Linked DNA regions of Saccharomyces cerevisiae S288C. Changing the gene in region 1 together with any one later gene gives a genetic interaction. Each region holds a gene or a part of one and is shown in the gene's direction. Other genes may lie near its edges.

What was found.
Region 2: mutations in WAR1 (region 1) and MSN4 are lethal when combined (synthetic lethality), as found in Saccharomyces cerevisiae (one study listed by BioGRID).
Region 3: mutations in WAR1 (region 1) and DFP2 together harm fitness more than expected from each alone (negative genetic interaction), as found in Saccharomyces cerevisiae (2 studies listed by BioGRID).

What each region holds. Positions count from the first base shown.
Region 1 is NC_001145.3:112,013-116,852, reverse strand, and holds WAR1 (War1p), read left to right. Parts: upstream 1-1,505; coding exon 1,506-4,340; downstream 4,341-4,840. Other genes in the region: hydroxymethylglutaryl-CoA reductase (NADPH) HMG1, read left to right, coding at 1-1,119; TRAPP subunit BET5, read right to left, coding at 4,509-4,840. UniProt on the Saccharomyces cerevisiae protein: transcription factor which binds to a weak acid response element (WARE) to mediate stress induction of PDR12 and FUN34, encoding an acid transporter and a putative ammonia transporter, respectively.
Region 2 is NC_001143.9:318,832-328,184, forward strand, and holds MSN4 (stress-responsive transcriptional activator MSN4), read left to right. Parts: upstream 1-4,396; coding exon 4,397-6,289; downstream 6,290-9,353. Other genes in the region: putative Mg(2+) transporter MNR2, read left to right, coding at 1-1,842; YKL063C (uncharacterized protein), read right to left, coding at 2,184-2,687; BLI1 (Bli1p), read left to right, coding at 6,940-7,281; fructose-bisphosphate aldolase FBA1, read right to left, coding at 7,577-8,656; cleavage polyadenylation factor subunit MPE1, read right to left, coding at 9,287-9,353. UniProt on the Saccharomyces cerevisiae protein: Positive transcriptional factor that acts as a component of the stress responsive system. Recognizes and binds to the stress response element (STRE) which is involved in the response to various forms of stress (heat, oxidative, osmotic, etc.).
Region 3 is NC_001133.9:182,651-190,292, forward strand, and holds DFP2 (DUP240 family protein), read left to right. Parts: upstream 1-3,670; coding exon 3,671-3,895; downstream 3,896-7,642. Other genes in the region: DUP240 family protein UIP3, read left to right, coding at 1,120-1,827; KTD1 (DUP240 family protein), read left to right, coding at 2,242-2,946; pheromone-regulated DUP240 family protein PRM9, read left to right, coding at 4,186-5,082; DUP240 family protein MST28, read left to right, coding at 5,457-6,161; carnitine O-acetyltransferase YAT1, read left to right, coding at 7,543-7,642.

The sequences.
Region 1 (4,840 bases):
GAAAATGTTATAGGTTACATGCCTTTGCCCGTTGGTGTTATAGGCCCCTTGGTTATCGATGGTACATCTTATCATATACCAATGGCAACTACAGAGGGTTGTTTGGTAGCTTCTGCCATGCGTGGCTGTAAGGCAATCAATGCTGGCGGTGGTGCAACAACTGTTTTAACTAAGGATGGTATGACAAGAGGCCCAGTAGTCCGTTTCCCAACTTTGAAAAGATCTGGTGCCTGTAAGATATGGTTAGACTCAGAAGAGGGACAAAACGCAATTAAAAAAGCTTTTAACTCTACATCAAGATTTGCACGTCTGCAACATATTCAAACTTGTCTAGCAGGAGATTTACTCTTCATGAGATTTAGAACAACTACTGGTGACGCAATGGGTATGAATATGATTTCTAAAGGTGTCGAATACTCATTAAAGCAAATGGTAGAAGAGTATGGCTGGGAAGATATGGAGGTTGTCTCCGTTTCTGGTAACTACTGTACCGACAAAAAACCAGCTGCCATCAACTGGATCGAAGGTCGTGGTAAGAGTGTCGTCGCAGAAGCTACTATTCCTGGTGATGTTGTCAGAAAAGTGTTAAAAAGTGATGTTTCCGCATTGGTTGAGTTGAACATTGCTAAGAATTTGGTTGGATCTGCAATGGCTGGGTCTGTTGGTGGATTTAACGCACATGCAGCTAATTTAGTGACAGCTGTTTTCTTGGCATTAGGACAAGATCCTGCACAAAATGTTGAAAGTTCCAACTGTATAACATTGATGAAAGAAGTGGACGGTGATTTGAGAATTTCCGTATCCATGCCATCCATCGAAGTAGGTACCATCGGTGGTGGTACTGTTCTAGAACCACAAGGTGCCATGTTGGACTTATTAGGTGTAAGAGGCCCGCATGCTACCGCTCCTGGTACCAACGCACGTCAATTAGCAAGAATAGTTGCCTGTGCCGTCTTGGCAGGTGAATTATCCTTATGTGCTGCCCTAGCAGCCGGCCATTTGGTTCAAAGTCATATGACCCACAACAGGAAACCTGCTGAACCAACAAAACCTAACAATTTGGACGCCACTGATATAAATCGTTTGAAAGATGGGTCCGTCACCTGCATTAAATCCTAAACTTAGTCATACGTCATTGGTATTCTCTTGAAAAAGAAGCACAACAGCACCATGTGTTACGTAAAATATTTACTTTATAGTTTGTACGTCATAATTTCTTCCATATTACAAGTTCGTGCATATATAGAAAGAATTCTGTTGTTGTAATTGTCATAACTATTGAGCTTTACCTGAAAATTCAACGAAAAAAACTCAAAAACCACATGCTTCTCTTGAGTCATGCGGTTCCTTTCCCTTATGAGTGAAAATCTTCCTTTTTTAGCTATGTGCGCCATCCGATAAATGTAGGAGCAATGAAGCGGAAAGTCAATTTTTTCATACAGTATACATTAATATCTAGTGTGTATTGACTGTGATCGGGAAGATCTTCAGGGTTGAATTACAACATGGACACGCAGATTGCAATAACTGGCGTTGCCGTCGGGAAAGAAATCAATAATGATAATTCAAAGACCGACCAAAAAGTTTCTTTGCCGAAGGCGGATGTCCCATGCATAGATAAGGCCACACAAACTATTATAGAAGGATGCTCCAAAGATGACCCTAGGCTTTCGTATCCTACAAAACTAGAGACTACTGAAAAGGGGAAGACCAAAAGAAACTCATTTGCTTGTGTATGCTGCCATTCCTTGAAGCAAAAATGTGAGCCTTCTGATGTTAACGATATTTATAGGAAACCTTGTCGAAGGTGTCTGAAACACAAGAAGCTGTGCAAGTTTGATCTTTCAAAAAGGACAAGGAAGAGAAAGCCTAGATCAAGGTCACCCACACCTTTTGAATCGCCGATGGTGAATGTCTCTACTAAAAGCAAAGGCCCAACAGATTCTGAAGAATCTAGCTTGAAGGATGGTACATCTTACCTCGCCAGTTTCCCTTCTGACCCAAACGCTAAACAATTTCCAAACTCTCGGACAGTCTTACCTGGACTTCAACAAAGTTTATCCGATCTTTGGTCAACTTTAAGCCAACCACCCTCATATGGAGCAAGAGAGGCCGAAACCACATCTACCGGAGAGATAACCACCAATAATCATACAAAATCCAATGGCAGTGTGCCCACAAATCCAGCAGTTTTAGCATCTAACGATGAGCATACTAATATTAGTGATGCGCCAGTTATATACAGTACCTACAACTCCCCCGTACCGATTTCATCTGCGCCTACCAGCATTAACAGCGAGGCACTGTTCAAACATAGGCCTAAAATTGTGGGTGATGAGGAAACACAGAACGTCAAAGTGAAAAGACAAAAGAAATCATACTCTAGACATATGACACGGTCGTTCAGGAAGCAGCTACAATCACTGATTATTTCTCAAAAAGGTAAAATTAGAGATATTTCGATGAAGCTTGACACTTGGTCAAAGCAGTGGAATGACCTTGTTGAAAAGAGCATGTTTTTGCCAACCATTGCAGATCCTGTATCAGTAGGAATCATATCTCATGAAGAAGCGACGCTTCGCTTACATCTTTATAAAACCGAGATTTCATATTTGTCAAAATTACCATTCATAAAGGTCGAAGAGAATGTTAGTGTCGATGAATTAAGAAAGAAGAAACCTATTTTATTCTCCGTCATTATGTCATGTGTTTCAATTGTACTAACACCCAAACAAACCACCAGAGGAACTATTATGAAGCTTGATAGTTTTGTACTAAACTTAATTACAAATCAGATTTTCAAGGCTAATAATAAATCTATCGAAATCATCGAATCACTGTCTACATTATGTCTATGGTATAATTTTTTTGAATGGTCAAGTAAAACGAGATACCATATATTTAATTACATCTGTTGCTGTTTAACTAGAGATTTGGGGCCTACCTATGTCAATCGATCCTTTGGTATGTTTAGTGACGAGGATCCAAAGAGATTCAAGTCACCTTTGGAACTTTACAGTAATGGCGCCAGTTTAACTTTATTGGTATACATTTCCGCACTCAATATTTCAATTTTTCTACGTCAATCAATACAAGCTCGTTGGAGTCACGTCACGGAAAAGGCCTGCGAGGATTTAGTTAAAGAGACGAAAAAATCGCGACATTATGACAACGATAAACTATTACTTGATTCAGCTGATGATCCCATCTTGGTTCAATTTGCTAAAATGAACCACGTCTTGGAAAATATTCACACACACCTACATGAGAGAGATCTAAATGATGACGAGTTTGATGATCCTATTTTTACTAAAAAGTATCTTAATAAACTAATGGAAAAATACCACAAGCAATTGCAAGAGATTTTCACTAAACTTGACAGAAACAGGCCAAGAGTGATTGCATTTTATTACTCTGTAGAAGCTTATTTATACCAGTATAAACTTGCAGTATTCATCGGGGAAATGTCGCATACCATAAACGAAAAAGTCGAATTGCCCAGAGAAATAATGGATGATTTTGTTAAATGCTATCATTGCTGTAAATCTGCCCTTGAGGAATTTTCCAAGTTGGAGCCAATTTTAATTACCTCATTACCTTTATTTCATACTTCCAGGATCATATATACCGTTGGTATGCTCTTATTAAAGCTGCGCTATTCCGTAGTCGCTATTCCTTCGTTTCACGATTTAATGCCCCTTACAGATGATGCTATTGCCTTGGTAATAGGGGTAAACAATCTTTTAGAAAAAACATCAGAGCTGTATCCCTTCAACAACTCTCTTTACAAATTTAGGTATGTTATTGCGTTATTTTGTCAAACCTACGCAAACAAAGTTATTGATGTTGCTGATCGCTACAATGCAGAAAGGGAGAAACTAAAGGAAAAGCAGGTCATAGACGAAGTAAGCAATGGCCACGATGGTACGAAGCCAATAAATGCATATGTAACCGAGTCACAAAAGATGCCAACAGAAGAAGATCCAATTATCGACAATAATACAAACCAAAACATAACCGCTGTACCTGATGAAATGCTGCCAGTATACTCAAGAGTTCGTGACGATACTGCCGCAATGAACCTGAATATTAACAGTACTTCATATATGAATGAATCCCCACATGAACACCGAGAGAGTATGACAGGCACAACTCTATTACCACCACCATTTATTTCTAATGATGTGACTAACTCTGCTGACTCAACTAATATAAAACCATCACCTAGTTCATCGGTAGACAACTTGAACGATTATTTGACGGATATAAACTCCTTAGCATGGGGCGTTAATTCATTAAATGACGAGTTTTGGACAGACCTTTTCATGAATGATATTTGAGCCCCCACAACAAAAATTATGACCCAAACCAGATCCGAGTTTGTATTAACAAACAAAGTTTAAAATATGTAAAACTAATTAATTTATCCTTAGGTATATATACGATGAATGCAATTCAATTCATCGCTTCTATTTATTTTAGGTTTTTCTTCTGCTCATGGTTCGTGCTCACTGATTAACCATTGGTGCTAGAAATGACTCGAGAACGGATATAAAGTTTCTATTGGTGATCTTTCTTGTCCCTTGACCTCTCATTTCATTTTCGTTTTCAGCGAAATCGTACGGTGATAATAAGTTGTTGCTCACGTATTTGACATAAATATGGCTGTAAATATACTGTAAAACCTGAGTGTAAGACTGCTGTTTAAAGTCGGACAATAGAACAAACCATAGCCCTGAAGCTGTACAGTATGTGTGGACTCTATACTTTCCTGTAGATATACTCCGTATGTCATTTTTAACAGACCCTTTGGAGAGCTTTTGTGTAATGGAGCGTAACG
Region 2 (9,353 bases), on another chromosome or scaffold:
ATTGCGCCATGGCATTTGATTCAACGTCCAATGGTCCTTGGGTCCAATTCAACCAAGGACTCAAAATCAAGAATTCAAAGCGGATTACAAGATAACTTACTAGTCGGCAGAAATATTCAATATCCTCCGCATATTATTTCTAATAACCCAGAACATTTCAGGTTCACTTATTTTAGGGTGGATTTGGACTCTACTGTTCATTCTCCGACAATATCTGGTTTACTGCAACCTGGTCAAAAATTTCAAGATTTATTTGTCGCTTCTATATACTCCCAAGATAATAGCGCTGGTCATATCAAGACACATCCAAATTCTCCAACACCTGGTATAAAAGCAGAAACTGTATCTCAACTCCAGGGATTGACAGCTAAAAACCCTTCCACTTTATCGTCTATGTCTGTGGCAAATATAGAGGATGTTCCTCCATTCTGGTTGGATGTCAGCAATCCTACTGAAGAGGAGATGAAAATATTAAGTAAAGCTTTCGGAATTCACCCTTTAACTACAGAAGATATTTTTTTGGGAGAAGTTCGTGAGAAAGTGGAACTATTTAGAGATTATTACCTGATTTGTTTTAGAAGTTTCGATATTGTAGCAGAAAAGCATGTTCGTCGGAGGAGAAAAGAAAAGCAAGAATCTGCTACCTTGGATCATGAAAGTATTTCACGTCGTAAATCACAAGCCTATGGTGCTACTATGTCAAATGAATCAAATGCAAATAACAATAACAGTACAAGCAATGCAAGTAGGAGCAAATGGCTTCCATCGATTTTACGTGCACGCCGTCGGTCATCTGCAAATAGAACAACCAATACATCATCATCAAGCTATAAACGCCGTGTCAAAAGCGAAAAGAAAAAGATGGAAGAGAACGAAAAATTCAAAAGAAAATCAGGAGACAGGCACAAACCACGTGAGGGAGAATTAGAGCCATTGAATGTTTACATTATTGTTTTCAGAACTGGTGTATTGACGTTTCATTTTGCTCCCACACCACATCCTATTAATGTTCGAAGAAGAGCAAGACTACTAAAGGATTACCTTAATGTTACCTCTGATTGGATTGCGTATGCCTTAATCGATGACATTACAGACGCATTTGCCCCTATGATAGAACTTATCGAAGATGAAGTTTATGAGATTGAGGACGCCATTTTGAAGATGCATCAGTCAGATGATTCTAGTGATAGCGATTCTAGCGATAGTGATTCCGATTCGGGCGCTAGCGATGAGGATGCATTTCCGTTCGATGTCTATTCTAAAAAGACGTCCTACTCTAGTGCAAAATCTAGTGTGAGTTCAAGAAGTATGAGCACTTCTGAAGCGTCATTCAATGCAAATTTGATAGGTTGGAAGAGAAAAGGAGATATGTTGAGGCGGATTGGTGAATGCCGTAAAAGAGTGATGAGTATACTAAGATTGCTAGGATCCAAGGCTGATGTGATAAAAGGATTTGCCAAAAGGTATAATGAGCAATGGGAAGCTTCGCCACAATCTGAAATCGCAATGTATTTGGGTGATATTCAAGATCATATTGTAACCATGGTCTCATCGCTAAACCATTATGAAAAACTGTTAAGTAGATCGCATTCAAATTATCTGGCACAAATCAACATTGATATGACGAAGGTTAATAATGACATGAACGACGTTTTGGGAAAAATTACCATACTGGGTACTATTGTTCTGCCAATGAATGTGATTACGGGTCTGTGGGGTATGAATGTTATCGTGCCCGGACAATACAGGGATTCGTTGACATGGTTTATAGGCATTGTGCTTTTTATGTGTATGCTAGCATGTTCTGCATATATGTATACTAAGAGAAGATTCGGGTTTTAATTTAAGTGTTTTTTCGCGCATTAGCGCTTGCTTTTCCTTCGATTTTAATTATCAGCCTAAATTATTGTTGTCTTTCCCGAAGGATAGAATTGTAAATTATCAGCGCCGTATCGTATACTTGTGGTGATAAATATCTTTAATCTATTTATGTTTTTTTTTTTTTTTTTTTTCGTGTCTGGTTTCTACATGTTTGTGAACGTTCTGCATATCTTTATGTACGTACACAGTATGTTAGTATGCACTTATACTATACAAAGAATAAGGGAGGTGAGGTTAATCAATAAGGTTAACGTAAAACATTTATTATTTTCATCACCAAACTGTTGGAAGTTTTGAATTGGTTAATTATCAAGGATTTCATTGTTAGCCAAATTTTCCTTGGCGAGATCTTGTTTCTCTTTCTGGAGTTGCTGTTTTTGTTCTTTTTTGTCCTTGTTTATTTGTTTTTGCTTTTCTGAATCAATTTGTGGTTTCAAATCGTTCTCCAAATTCTTTACTTCTTGTTGCTTTGCGACTTCATTATTGAACTTTTCTTTAGGTACTTTAGCTTGTTGTGGTTGCTTATTGTTAGTCGCATCAGCTGCACCGCCGGCTGCAATATTGGTATGATCGCTTGCACTTGCAGAAACATCAGAAGAATGGCTTTCTAGCTTGATCTCAGTTTCTTTATTCAGATCAGAATAGGCAACTTTTATAACGAAATAAACGCCACATAACAGTATAATGTATACTATAATCTTTTTCATAGGGGTAGTCAGATAACCGCCCCTTCTTCTGGAATTATATTTGCTTCCTGTTTTATAACGAGGTAAAAGATCTTTTTTCCTTCTGATATCGCCCTGCATATTTTCTATAATTATGAATCACTTTAGTTTGATTTATATTTGCTCAGAATACCCTAGCTTTATCTATATAGTACTACTACTTTGGAGGGGAGGAACGTATGTTGGAAGGCAATAGCACTCTGGTAAAGTGCTAACTCTTAATGTTAATGACGAAATCACTTTTTTTGCCTTTCTGAAAGATTGGAAGACTGTCACTGAGAAATTCGCTATTCTTTTCTTTTTCTTCGTGTTTTTTTTTGTTAGAATACTGCACAGCTTGCTATCCCGCTGCACAGCTTGCTATCCCGCTGCACAACATGAAATTGCTCACGTCGTGCCAAATTACATATAGGTGCTTACCCTGTTTATATTTTTTGCCTTCATAGCGGAGTTTTTAAGGGTAGCCCTTATGTTTTTAGCGTTCATTTGAACGAATGGCTAACGCTAAACGGAGAAGAGAGGAAAACAAGGCCGCTGGCGTTATTGCGCGTAAAAACAGGAGATAAGCACTGTTTAACATACATTTCATTGAAAGCTTAAAGCCGCAAAAGATGAAGGGTTTTCAAAATTTTCATCTCTTGCAGTATAAGGATGCAGTGAATCTATCTACAGACAGTTGATAAAAACGTCTACCTTGCCTAGTGTACCCAGCTGCTGTCAACTTCTTTCCTTAGCGCGTAAAGAGCTATGTTTTCGATAAAAGATGCAACATAAATGCTACGATGTAAGGCACCCAGGACCTCTGAAGGCAAAGAAGTTGTGAAATTTGAAAAATAATCGCTCAAAAAGGAATAATTGTCAAGCGTAACGATTTTTTTGATTTTCCGAAATCAGGGGAGGGGAAAAGAAAAGGGGAAGGGGTCTCCTCACAGGTATTGTGAGCTCCAAGCAATCATTTTGCCAGCACTAGGAAATAATAAAATGAAAGAAAAAAACATACATAGAAAGTGCCGCTCCGGGGCATTTTGAGCGCGGCAAAAAAAGCCCGAAGATCCGTTCCTCGAAGGAACGGCAACCGCACACCAAGAAAAAGGGAAAAAGGTGGGGTTGGCTGTAAAGTACGAGCGCGGGGACGGATCCGTAACAATTTCTATGTGGGGCCAGCAGCCGGCTGCTGGTGGGTACTGTTGTACGAAGCGGTTGGTAGCGATGACAGTGGCCAGGGCTGCTAGGCATGGTGCCGTGAAAACCCAGCGCAAATGTCAGGCTGCAGGAACCGGCTTTCTCCCACGAGGTTTCACTGCTGGCGGCGTACTGGTCATTTTTAGAACCTGAAAACCCGAGCTAGAACTAGGACTCTTGAGCAATAAGGTTTGCGCATTGCTATTCTCCGGATAAACCAAACCCACCCTTTTAAGAGCGTTTAACAAAGGTCTCTTATCTATCAAAAGTATTATGGCTATTTCTGGGATTCCGCTTGCGGGCCTTTCTACCCTCTTGATGCTACACATGTTTCCCTTAGATGCATGAGCATACCTGTAGGTACTTAAATTTTATTTTTATGCATCTTATTTCTGTCTAAATTTGTATATAACAAGCAACTGCAGTTCTGTGATGTGTTTTTCGCAACTGGTCAACAGGCTTAAGAATTTTTCCGTCTCTTTCCGTTTTATTTCCAGAGAATTAACATTTATAGAGAAAAGAATTAAAACGTGAAATTTCCTTTTTGAATATTTAACGCCTTTATCAGTTCGGCTTTTTTTTCTTTTCTTCTTATTAAAAACAATATAATGCTAGTCTTCGGACCTAATAGTAGTTTCGTTCGTCACGCAAACAAGAAACAAGAAGATTCGTCTATAATGAACGAGCCAAACGGATTGATGGACCCGGTATTGAGCACAACCAACGTTTCTGCTACTTCTTCTAATGACAATTCTGCGAACAATAGCATATCTTCGCCGGAATATACCTTTGGTCAATTCTCAATGGATTCTCCGCATAGAACGGACGCCACTAATACTCCAATTTTAACAGCGACAACTAATACGACTGCTAATAATAGTTTAATGAATTTAAAGGATACCGCCAGTTTAGCTACCAACTGGAAGTGGAAAAATTCCAATAACGCACAGTTCGTGAATGACGGTGAGAAACAAAGCAGTAATGCTAATGGTAAGAAAAATGGTGGTGATAAGATATATAGTTCAGTAGCCACCCCTCAAGCTTTAAATGACGAATTGAAAAACTTGGAGCAACTAGAAAAGGTATTTTCTCCAATGAATCCTATCAATGACAGTCATTTTAATGAAAATATAGAATTATCGCCACACCAACATGCAACTTCTCCCAAGACAAACCTTCTTGAGGCAGAACCTTCAATATATTCCAATTTGTTTCTAGATGCTAGGTTACCAAACAACGCCAACAGTACAACAGGATTGAACGACAATGATTATAATCTAGACGATACCAATAATGATAATACTAATAGCATGCAATCAATCTTAGAGGATTTTGTATCTTCAGAAGAAGCATTGAAGTTCATGCCGGACGCTGGTCGCGACGCAAGAAGATACAGCGAGGTGGTTACCTCTTCCTTTCCTTCTATGACGGATTCTAGAAATTCGATCTCTCATTCGATAGAGTTTTGGAATCTCAATCACAAAAATAGTAGCAACAGTAAACCCACTCAACAAATTATCCCTGAAGGTACTGCCACTACTGAGAGGCGTGGATCAACCATTTCACCTACTACCACTATAAACAACTCTAATCCAAACTTCAAATTATTAGATCATGACGTTTCTCAAGCTCTGAGCGGTTATAGTATGGATTTTTCTAAGGACTCTGGTATAACAAAGCCAAAAAGCATTTCCTCTTCTTTAAATCGCATCTCCCATAGCAGTAGCACCACAAGGCAACAGCGTGCCTCTTTGCCCTTAATTCATGATATTGAATCTTTTGCAAATGATTCGGTGATGGCAAATCCTCTGTCTGATTCCGCATCATTTCTTTCAGAAGAAAATGAAGACGATGCTTTTGGTGCGCTAAATTACAATAGCTTAGATGCAACCACAATGTCGGCATTCGACAATAACGTAGACCCCTTCAACATTCTCAAGTCATCTCCGGCTCAGGATCAACAGTTTATCAAACCCTCTATGATGTTGTCGGATAATGCCTCTGCTGCCGCTAAATTGGCGACTTCTGGTGTTGATAATATCACACCTACACCAGCTTTCCAAAGAAGAAGCTATGATATCTCGATGAACTCTTCGTTCAAAATACTTCCTACTAGTCAAGCTCACCATGCAGCTCAACATCATCAACAACAACCTACTAAACAGGCAACGGTAAGCCCAAACACAAGAAGAAGAAAGTCGTCAAGTGTTACTTTAAGTCCAACTATTTCTCATAACAACAACAATGGTAAGGTTCCTGTCCAACCTCGGAAAAGGAAATCTATTACTACCATTGACCCCAACAACTACGATAAAAATAAACCTTTCAAGTGTAAAGACTGTGAGAAGGCATTCAGACGCAGTGAGCACTTGAAAAGGCATATAAGATCCGTTCATTCAACGGAACGCCCTTTTGCTTGTATGTTCTGTGAGAAAAAATTCAGTAGAAGTGACAATTTATCACAACATCTAAAAACTCACAAAAAGCACGGTGATTTTTGAAAAAAATAAGGTCAAAAGCAAATAAAAGCAAGACAAGCTACGGTATGACAAGTTTTCGGAGAAATAATATTCTTTCTTCCTCAGTTTACAAAACAAGTAGGTTGGTCATTTCATTCGGATATATTCTAAGGAATGAAATGAACATTGGTGTTTGTTTCTAATATAATCTTAAGATATTTTAAATTGTTTCTTTCCTTTTTTGCCTTTCTAACTATTACTTCAACTTCTTTTCCGTATATTTCCGTTTTTTCCATTTGGCAGATTAAAAAAATTGTGCACGTTCTGGTTTTAACGTATAGACTTCTAATATATTTCTCCATACTTGGTATTTTTTATTCACTTTTTTTATACATATTTGGTTTTTTTATACAATATCAAAAATCAATAATAATTAATTTAATAACAAGAATATGTTGCTGTGATGACTCTTAATATACAATTGGGAAGCATTCAAGGATTGGTACGACGTTTGCTTTCTGATAATTAAACGCTTGGCGTTTAATCTTTTTTGCCGATTAATAATATTATTATTACCCTCTTATTTATTAGCATTGTCTTCCGTACTAAAAGGAGTAGGGAAAAAGGCGAAGTAGAGTGACACGTCCATTACCCAGCGCTTCATAAGAATCCATCAGGTATATTAAATTGTGATGGGAGAACAAAACAAATTGTACTATGATGTCGAGAAATTGGTGAATTCTTTGCAGGAAAGTTTTGACCTGGATTGCGCGCAAAGTGTATCACTTTTCACCAGTAAATCAAGGAGCAATGAGGCTTGGTTGGAAGAGCTAGAGAATAAATTCAAGTTAAAAGATGATGTTGAACTTGATGATGTGGAAAATTTAAGAGCCGAAATTGACATGAAGTTAAATATGTTGGAGGATAAAGTAAGCTACTATGAAAGACTTTACAAAGAACTCGAAGAGTTCCAGAATGAAATAAAAATTAAAACAGTTGTGAATAACAGAAGACAATCGCGAACTCCAAAATGAGCTATCAAAAACGATAGATCGATTAGGATGACTTTGAAATGACTCCGCAGTGGACTGGCCGTTAATTTCAAGCGTGAGTAAAATAGTGCATGACAAAAGATGAGCTAGGCTTTTGTAAAAATATCTTACGTTGTAAAATTTTAGAAATCATTATTTCCTTCATATCATTTTGTCATTGACCTTCAGAAGAAAAGAGCCGACCAATAATATAAATAAATAAATAAAAATAATATTCCATTATTTCTAAACAGATTCAATACTCATTAAAAAACTATATCAATTAATTTGAATTAACTTATAAAGTGTTAGTGGTACGGAAAGTTTCCAAAGACTTGGTGATCTTAGCACCCATGGTCTTTTCACCTTCTCTAACCCAGACTCTTGGGTCGAAGAACTTCTTGTTTGGCTTTTCTGGACCTTCTGGGTTACCGACTGGGGACATTATGTAGTCCTTCTTGTTCAAGACGTAGTCTCTGATACCAGTCAAGTAAGCGTATTGACAGTCAGTGTCCAAGTTGACCTTGACAACACCGTTGTCAATACCAGTGTGGAATTCTTGGACAGTAGAACCGGAACCACCGTGGAAGACCAAGAACAATGGCTTTTCTTCCTTGCAACCAACTTGTTCTCTGGTGTACTTTTGGTGTTCAGCCAAGATTTCTGGTCTCAAAGCGATGTCACCAGCGTACAAACCGTGACAGTTACCGAAAGCAGCAGCAATGGAGAAGTTTGGAGAGATTGGGTGCAAAGCCTTGTAGACGTTGTAAACTTGTTCTGGCTTGGTGTACAAGTCTTCCTTGTCAGCGTTTTCGTTGTTAACACCATCTTCTTCACCACCGGTAATACCGATTTCCATTTCTAACCATTGGTCCATAGCGGCCATTCTCTTGAAGTACTTGACACAAGTAGAGATGTTTTCTTCATCGGTTTCTTCAGACAAATCCAACATGTGGGAGGAGAATAATGGTTCACCGTGTTCCTTGAAGTAAGCTTCATCAGCTTCCAACATACCATCGAACCATGGCAACAACTTCTTGGCACAGTGGTCAGAGTGTAAGACAACTGGGATACCGTAAGCTGGAGCAATGGATCTGATGTAGTGGGCAGCGGCAATAGCACCCTTGATGGAAGCATTTTGACCTTCGTTAGAGATACCCTTACCAGCGAAGTAAGCAGCACCACCGTTAGAGGTTTGCAAAATGATTGGGGACTTGCTGTCTCTAGCAGCTTCTAAAGCAGCGACGGCAGTAGAAGAAGAGGTGACGTTAATAGCTGGAATAGCGAACTTGTGTTCCTTAGCGTAAGTGAATAAGTTGTGGACATCTTCACCAACGATGACACCGGTCTTTCTCTTTAAGATTTGTTCAACACCCATTTTGAATATGTATTACTTGGTTATGGTTATATATGACAAAAGAAAAAGAAGAACAGAAGAATAACGCAAGGAAGAACAATAACTGAAATTGATAGAGAAGTATTATGTCTTTGTCTTTTTATAATAAATCAAGTGCAGAAATCCGTTAGACAACATGAGGGATAAAATTTAACGTGGGCGAAGAAGAAGGAAAAAAGTTTTTGTGAGGGCGTAATTGAAGCGATCTGTTGATTGTAGATTTTTTTTTTTTGAGGAGTCAAAGTCAGAAGAGAACAGACAAATGGTATTAACCATCCAATACTTTTTTGGAGCAACGCTAAGCTCATGCTTTTCCATTGGTTACGTGCTCAGTTGTTAGATATGGAAAGAGAGGATGCTCACGGCAGCGTGACTCCAATTGAGCCCGAAAGAGAGGATGCCACGTTTTCCCGACGGCTGCTAGAATGGAAAAAGGAAAAATAGAAGAATCCCATTCCTATCATTATTTACGTAATGACCCACACATTTTTGAGATTTTCAACTATTACGTATTACGATAATCCTGCTGTCATTATCATTATTATCTATATCGACGTATGCAACGTATGTGAAGCCAAGTAGGCAATTATTTAGTACTGTCAGTATTGTTATTCATTTCTTAGGGCTTGCGTCAGCTTGATGAGGATTTGTGATAGTAGCCGTTGGAGGCATGAAGGGC
Region 3 (7,642 bases), on another chromosome or scaffold:
GACAATACGTCACCCTGAACGTTCATAAAACACATATGAAACAACCTTATAACAAAACGAACAACATGAGACAAAACCCGACCTTCCCTAGCTGAACTACCCAAAGTATAAATGCCTGAACAATTAGTTTAGATCCGAGATTCCGCGCTTCCACCACTTAGTATGATTCATATTTTATATAATATATAAGATAAGTAACATTCCGTGAATTAATCTGATAAACTGTTTTGACAACTGGTTACTTCCCTAAGACTGTTTATATTAGGATTGTCAAGACACTCCGGTATTACTCGAGCCCGTAATACAACATTATTTTCAGTGATAAAATATGTAAACCAATTATAAGAAAAAGGATTGCGTTGCATCACAACTGTAAACCATTAATTAAAAAGAGCAATTGCTATTTAGATTTGTTGCTGAGAATTGGCTAAAAAATCTGATAATTGTAGGACTTCTATTATTGCTAGGGGCAATGTGTTGGAATGCAATTCTGTTGGAATAAAAATCCACTATCGTCTATCAACTAATAGTTATATTATCAATATATTATCATATACGGTGTAGAGATGATGGCATAAGGTATGAAAAGCTGTCATCGAAGTTAGAGGAAGCTGAAGTGTAAGGATTGATAATGCAATAGGATAATGAAACATATAAAACGGAATGAGGAATAATCGTAAGATTGGTATATAGAAATATAGACTCCATTATGGGGATTCCTAGACCCTCGAGGAGAACCTTCAAGTATATTCTGTATACCTAATATTATAGCCTTTATCAACAATGGAATCCCAACAATTATCTCAAAATTCCCCCAATTCTCAACATCCGACTGCCATGCAATGTGCTTTTCTGGATCTCACTCATGATCATAATGGCCCTGTAAAAGGCTCGCACTATTATTATTATATCTTCACTATATATTATTTCGGAGGCTGTACCTATCAGTGAAAAAACGCCTCTAAAAATGAAAAAAAAAAAGAATATGAAAGGGGTTCTGAATTGCTAAAATATTTCGTCAAAGCTCAATTAGTATCATGATCAAGTCGTAATTCGAATCAGCATAACAACCTCCAAAACCATATAATAACCTTACACAAGACAAGATATCAATTCAACATGCAAACCCCTTCAGAAAATACCGACGTCAAGTTGGATACTCTCGACGAACCCAGTGCACATTTAATCGAGGAAAATGTGGCTCTTCCAGAGGATACATTCAATTCGTACTGGAGTTATATACTTAATGAAATCGCTCGTTGTAAACCGCTAATGATTATGTTCCTAATACCTGTGTGTTTGGTTTTATTGATTACGTTTTTTCATGATATCAAAGGTATCCTTGTGTTTTTAGTGATTTCTCTTATCCTCTCTATTATCATTTTATTGATCGGTATAACTGCCTTCGTGTCTGAGACCTTGAATAAGGGTTTCATAATTAAGCTTTTAGTAGAAGTCATTACACGTAAACCAGCAGTAGGGGGGAAGGAATGGAGAATAATCGCATATAATATGAACCAGTATCTGTTTGACCATGGGATATGGCATACTCCGTATTACTTTTTTTGTGAACATAGGTGCCATAAATTTTTCAAAAGCCTTATCAAACAGACAAGGTCGAATGCACATTTGAGTTCACCAACGAACGGTGCAGAGAATACGCAGTCAAACACACCAGCAAAAGAGGTTTCAAATGAGATGGTAAAACCTTATATCTTTAGTTCTGATCCAGTTTTAGAAGCTTACCTTATTAAAGCTGCGGAAATTCACAAAGAAGCTGAATTTGAGTATTGGAGAAAGCAATACCCAGAGGTTGATTTGCCTTAGGGCCGAATTTTTGGTATTTATCTAGTATATTCTAATATAAAATGTACGAGCATCATTAACTTCAAGAACATTACGAAGCCCGCAATTAAGTGTCAGTCCATCTGGGTGTAAAAGTTATGTACGCTCGAAACAAATTTTATGTAGTTTACTTTAGATGCAAATGCTATTATATATTTTGCTTTATGATCCTCGGCTTGATGCTCGCCAACGTGAGATAGCTGGTCATCACAATAGATCAGCCGGGACGCTTTTCGATCACATCGAATCCCTTCGGGACGTTGCAACAATACGTGAAAAATGCCTCAAAAATAATAAATACAATGGTGAACAACGTTAAAAAAGCATAAAACAGCTGGCTATTTTGATCAGGATAACATCTATAAGTGCCATATTAAGGCAAGATATCAATTGACCATGCAAACACCTTCAGAAAATACCGACGTAAAGATGGATACTCTCGACGAACCCAGTGCACATTTAATCGAAGAGAATGTAGCTCTTCCCGAAGACACATTCAGTTCACATCTGAGTTATGTACTTTATGAAATTGCTCATTGTAAACCGATCATGTTTATGATCATCATAATCGTGAGTTTGATCTCATTGATTGTGCTTTTTCATGATAACGACGGGTGCACTGTGATCTTAGTGATGTCCCTTATAGTAGCCTCCATGGCTTTAATGGTGGTTGCAGCATTCACATTCGGGAAAGCGATCACTGAACAGGAGTTCATGATAAAGCTTTTAGTGGAGGTGATCGCACGCAAGCCTGCGGGGAAGGAATGGGGTACTGTCGCATATAATATGAACCAATATCTATTCATGAAGAGACTATGGTATACCCCGTACTATTTCTATAGCGGCAAGAAGTGCCATGAGTTCTTCACCACTCTTATCAAGGAAGTGAATTCTGGTTCGCACTCGGATTCCTCATCGAATAGTGCCGAGGATACACAATCACCTGTCTCAGCAGGGAAGACTTCAAATGGTCTAAACAACTTTTATAGTATTAGATCAGACCCTATTTTGATGGCATATGTTTTGAAGGCAACACAAATAGAAAAGGAGGCTCAAAGTGAATACTGGAGAAAGCAATATCCTGACGCTGATTTACCTTGAAGCGGAAGCATTTTATTCACCAAGTATACTTACTTTTCTTTAAAACGAGAACAAGAATCGAATTCAAGAACATCTCGAAGCCAGAATTGAGCATCATATATTCGAGCTGTACAAACATCATGGCCTACAACTATCGTATTTGTAAGTTTTTTTAGAGGTTTTCATATTTGTTTAATAAGGGTTCTGTCAGTTTTTGTCACATTCTATTGTTGCGCTTCGCATAATGCAGCCAAGAAAATCCAAACAATAGAAAAAGAAAAAAAGGATCTCAAAAAGGGTTTGGTGTTGTAGTTATAAGAATAACTAGTGAATAAAAAAGCTGTTGTTTGGTCCGTATTACATTCGTCAAAAATTTAGTACTCAAATCGTGTATGCAATCGCAACCACAAAATAAAAATATTAGACTGGATGTGTTGAGTGGAGATGGTGCCAATTTAGTTGAGGGAAATGTGGTCCTTCCCAAAGACATGTTCAATTCGTACTTAAGTTATTCACTTTACGTGTTACGAGGGGGCTCATTGTAAGCCGATAATGATTATGTTCCTGGCATCTGTAATTTTGATTTCACTGACTAATTTCCGAGTATACCATCTCATGTCCCTTCTATCCTCTTTTTTCATCTCCGGGACAGACCGACAATAAAGCATCTAATATTAGGCTTTCGTTAGAGGTAAGCACACGCCAGCGTTCGGTGAAAGGGGAATGAAACATTATCACGTACAAGATGAATAAATATCTATTTGACCATAAAATATGGAGTACTCCTTACTACTTTTATTGCGAAGAAGATTGCCACCGTCTTTTTCTAAGTTTTATTGAGGGAAGAACTTTCGAGAAGCCAACAAGCAACGCTGAGGAAAATGTACAGGAGACTGAAGCTGGCGAATCTTTCACATTAAATCCCGGAGAAGATTTTCAAAATTGCTTTCCAAGACAGCGGATATTGTAGAACAATCTCAAGTGAAGTATTGGCAAGATATTGGTGCAATTATTTGAAAGGAAGGAGAAATATTCTGACAGTACCTTGCTAGCAAAGGGATTTACCAATCCACTGACGCTAAAATGGGGTAGTAAATTAGATAAATTGCATTCTAACGTGACTTTATATAGTGGGAAACAGATATGTAGCACACAAAACGGCATGATTATGCTTAATTGATTCCTATTTTTTAACGTAAATACTCTCCCAGAACGATCAGAAAACTTAACCCGCAACCATCTTTGCTGTGCTAACAACTTATGTCGCCTCAATACCATTTTTATTTTGTATCATTCCGGAACTTAGTATTGAATGAAAAATGCCTCCGAAGTAAAAAGCAGGTGATGAAAAGTTTCAATTGGTATAAGACAGATCGCTATTTTGATCCGCATAACATCCTTCAACACCATAGCAGAGCTATAGAGAAGACAAGATATAAACTGGGCATGCAAACATCTTCAGAAAGTACCGACGCCAAGTCGGATTTTCTCGACGAACCCAGTGCATATTTAATTGAGAAAAATGTGGCTCTTCCCAAGGACATATTCGGTTCGTACTTAAGTTATTGGATATATGAAGTTACTCGTCATAAAGCGGCAGTAATTTTGCTCGTACTTATTGTGACTTCAATTTTATTATTAGTGTTTTTTTATAATACGGAATTTTGCGTTGCCTTTGAGATACTATTGTTTTCCTTTTGCTTTCCAGGAACATGCATGGTTGTAATTGCATTTAGTGAACCGATCGGTGATCGGGAATTTAAAGTTAAGCTTCTGATGGAAATTATCACACGTAAACCGGCGGTAAAGGGGAAAGAATGGAGGACAATTACATACAAGATGAACCAGTATTTATTTGATCATGGGCTATGGGATACTCCCTACTACTTTTACCGTGATGAAGATTGCCACCGTTATTTTCTAAGTCTTATTAAGGGAAGAACTTTCAAGAAGCAAAAGGAATCGTCAGCCAGCAATGTTAAAGACGCACAATCAAATGACGAAACCGCTGGCACACCAAACGAAGCCGCTGAGTCTTCTAGTTTTAGTGCCGGACCGAACTTTATAAAGCTCCTCACCAAGGCAGCCGAAATCGAACAACAATTTCAAAAGGAATATTGGCGACAAGAGTATCCTGGTGTCGATGAGTTTTTTTAGACAGAAGACGGGAGACACTAGCACACAACTTTACCAGGCAAGGTATTTGACGCTAGCATGTGTCCAATTCAGTGTCATTTATGATTTTTTGTAGTAGGATATAAATATATACAGCGCTCCAAATAGTGCGGTTGCCCCAAAAACACCACGGAACCTCATCTGTTCTCGTACTTTGTTGTGACAAAGTAGCTCACTGCCTTATTATCACATTTTCATTATGCAACGCTTCGGAAAATACGATGTTGAAAATGCCTCTAGAGATGAAAAACAATCGTAAAAGGGTCCTGCGTAATTGAAACATTTGATCAGTATGCAGTGGCACAGAAACAACCAGGAATACTATAGTCATAGGCAATACAAGGTATATATTGGCTATGCAGACCCCTCCAGAAAGTACCGACGTCAAGTTAGATACACTTAACGAACCTAGTGCACATTTAATTGAGAAAAATGTGGCTCTTCCTAAGGACATATTCCGTTCGTACTTGAGTTATTGGATCTATGAAATCGCTCGCTATACACCAGTCATGATTTTGTCCCTGGTAATAGGGGTTTTGGTTTTATTAATTATATTTTTTAATGACAACGAAGCTTGTGTTTTCAATTCTGCAATATTTGCTTTTACTTCTCTTGTAGGTTTGTTAATAATATTAAGTGATGGTAATCCAAAGCTAGTCAGTCGTCGAAATTTTAGGACCGAGCTTTTAGTGGATGTCATCACACGTAAACCGGCGGTAGAAGGGAAAGAATGGAGGATCATCACATACAACATGAACCAATATTTGTTTAATCATGGGCAATGGCATACTCCGTATTACTTTTACAGCGATGAGGATTGCTACCGTTATTTTCTACGCCTTGTTGAGGGAGTAACCCCCAAGAAGCAAACAGCCACGTCAATTGGCAATTCTCCGGTCACCGCTAAGCCTGAAGATGCCATCGAGTCAGCTTCTCCTAGTTCCAGACTGAATTATCAAAACTTTTTGCTCAAGGCAGCGGAGATCGAACGACAAGCTCAGGAAAATTACTGGCGAAGGCGGCATCCCAATATCGATGCGCTTCTTAAAAAGACGGAATAGCTTAGAGACACTACCATACGTAAAGCGAACATAAACTAGAGTATGATATATAATCAGCACTAACTGGCCGGAAAACGGCCGAAGGAAGCCTCGAAAAGTCGATTCGTGTTGGACCCATTTGCTGAACAAAGTGGTTCATTGCCTACCTATTATGGTAGTAGTCGTGATAATCGTGTGGTTGGTTTTGTCAACGGTGCATTTGCATTTTCATGACAATAAACCTTGCGTTTTCGTTCTCGGGATATTACTTTCCCTCCACTTCTTTCGCCTCAATAGCTCCTATAAGCATTCTCAGGGCGTATGTCGGTGATCGAGATTTCCAAGCAAGCTTTTAGTGGAAATCATCGCGCGCAAGCCAGCGGTAAAGGGAAAAGAACGGAGGACGATTACATACAAGATGAACGAATAAATAAATTAATAATAAATAATAATAAAAAGTACAGTAGCATTAAATATTATTAAGTTTAATGATTAAAAATTGGTTAATTGTCAAGAAAATCTAAGGTATTAATAAATAAATAATACTATGACAACTTGCAGCGAAAGCATCAGCCCCAATGAAAATTAATCAGAATTGAATCTGAGCGTATTTATTTGATAACGGTTTACGTAACTGTTGGAATAAAAATCAACTATCATCTACTAACTAGTGTTTACGTTACTAGTATATTATCATATACGGTGTTAGAAGATGACGCAAATGATGAGAAATAGTCATCGTTTTCAACGGAAGCTGAAATACAAGGATTGATAATGTAATAGGATCAATGAATATCAACATATAAAACGATGATAATAATATTTATAGAATTGTGTAGAATTGCAGATTCCCTTTTATGGATTCCTAAATCCTCGAGAAGAACTTCTAGTATATCTACGTACCTAATATTATTGCCTTATTAAAAATGGAATCCCAACAATTATCTCAAAATTCCCCCAATTCTCATCAGTAACACCCCACCCCGTATTACTTTTACCGTGATGAAGATTGGCATCGTTACTTTCTAAACGTAGGACGTGCGGAATGACAAAACCATCAGCAGTGTCACGATCTCTCCAGTCACAATGGCAATCATGAGTGCATAGTCCAAAGTAAAGGGGCAAGGAAAAGCATGATTGAAAGGACTCCCCATCTGGACTCTATATGTCATCAGCGGCTAAAAAAAAGCATATAGCACAACATCAGCATCAGCATCAGCACTAGAGTCATCGGCCCGGCGGTCCGCGGTCATCCCCGCGGACTTTCCGTCCGCCCGGCGGGCTGTATCAGCGTCAACTGGAACGCGCATATATATACAAGACACACATAACATAGAAGCACACCCACGACAATAACCACACGACAATAACCACACCCGCCCACCCCTCCTTTCCGTATACAATGCCAAACTTAAAGAGACTACCCATCCCGCCACTGCAGGACACGCTCAACCGCTACCTGGCACGCGTGGAACCCCTGCAGGACGAGCGCCAAAACCGCC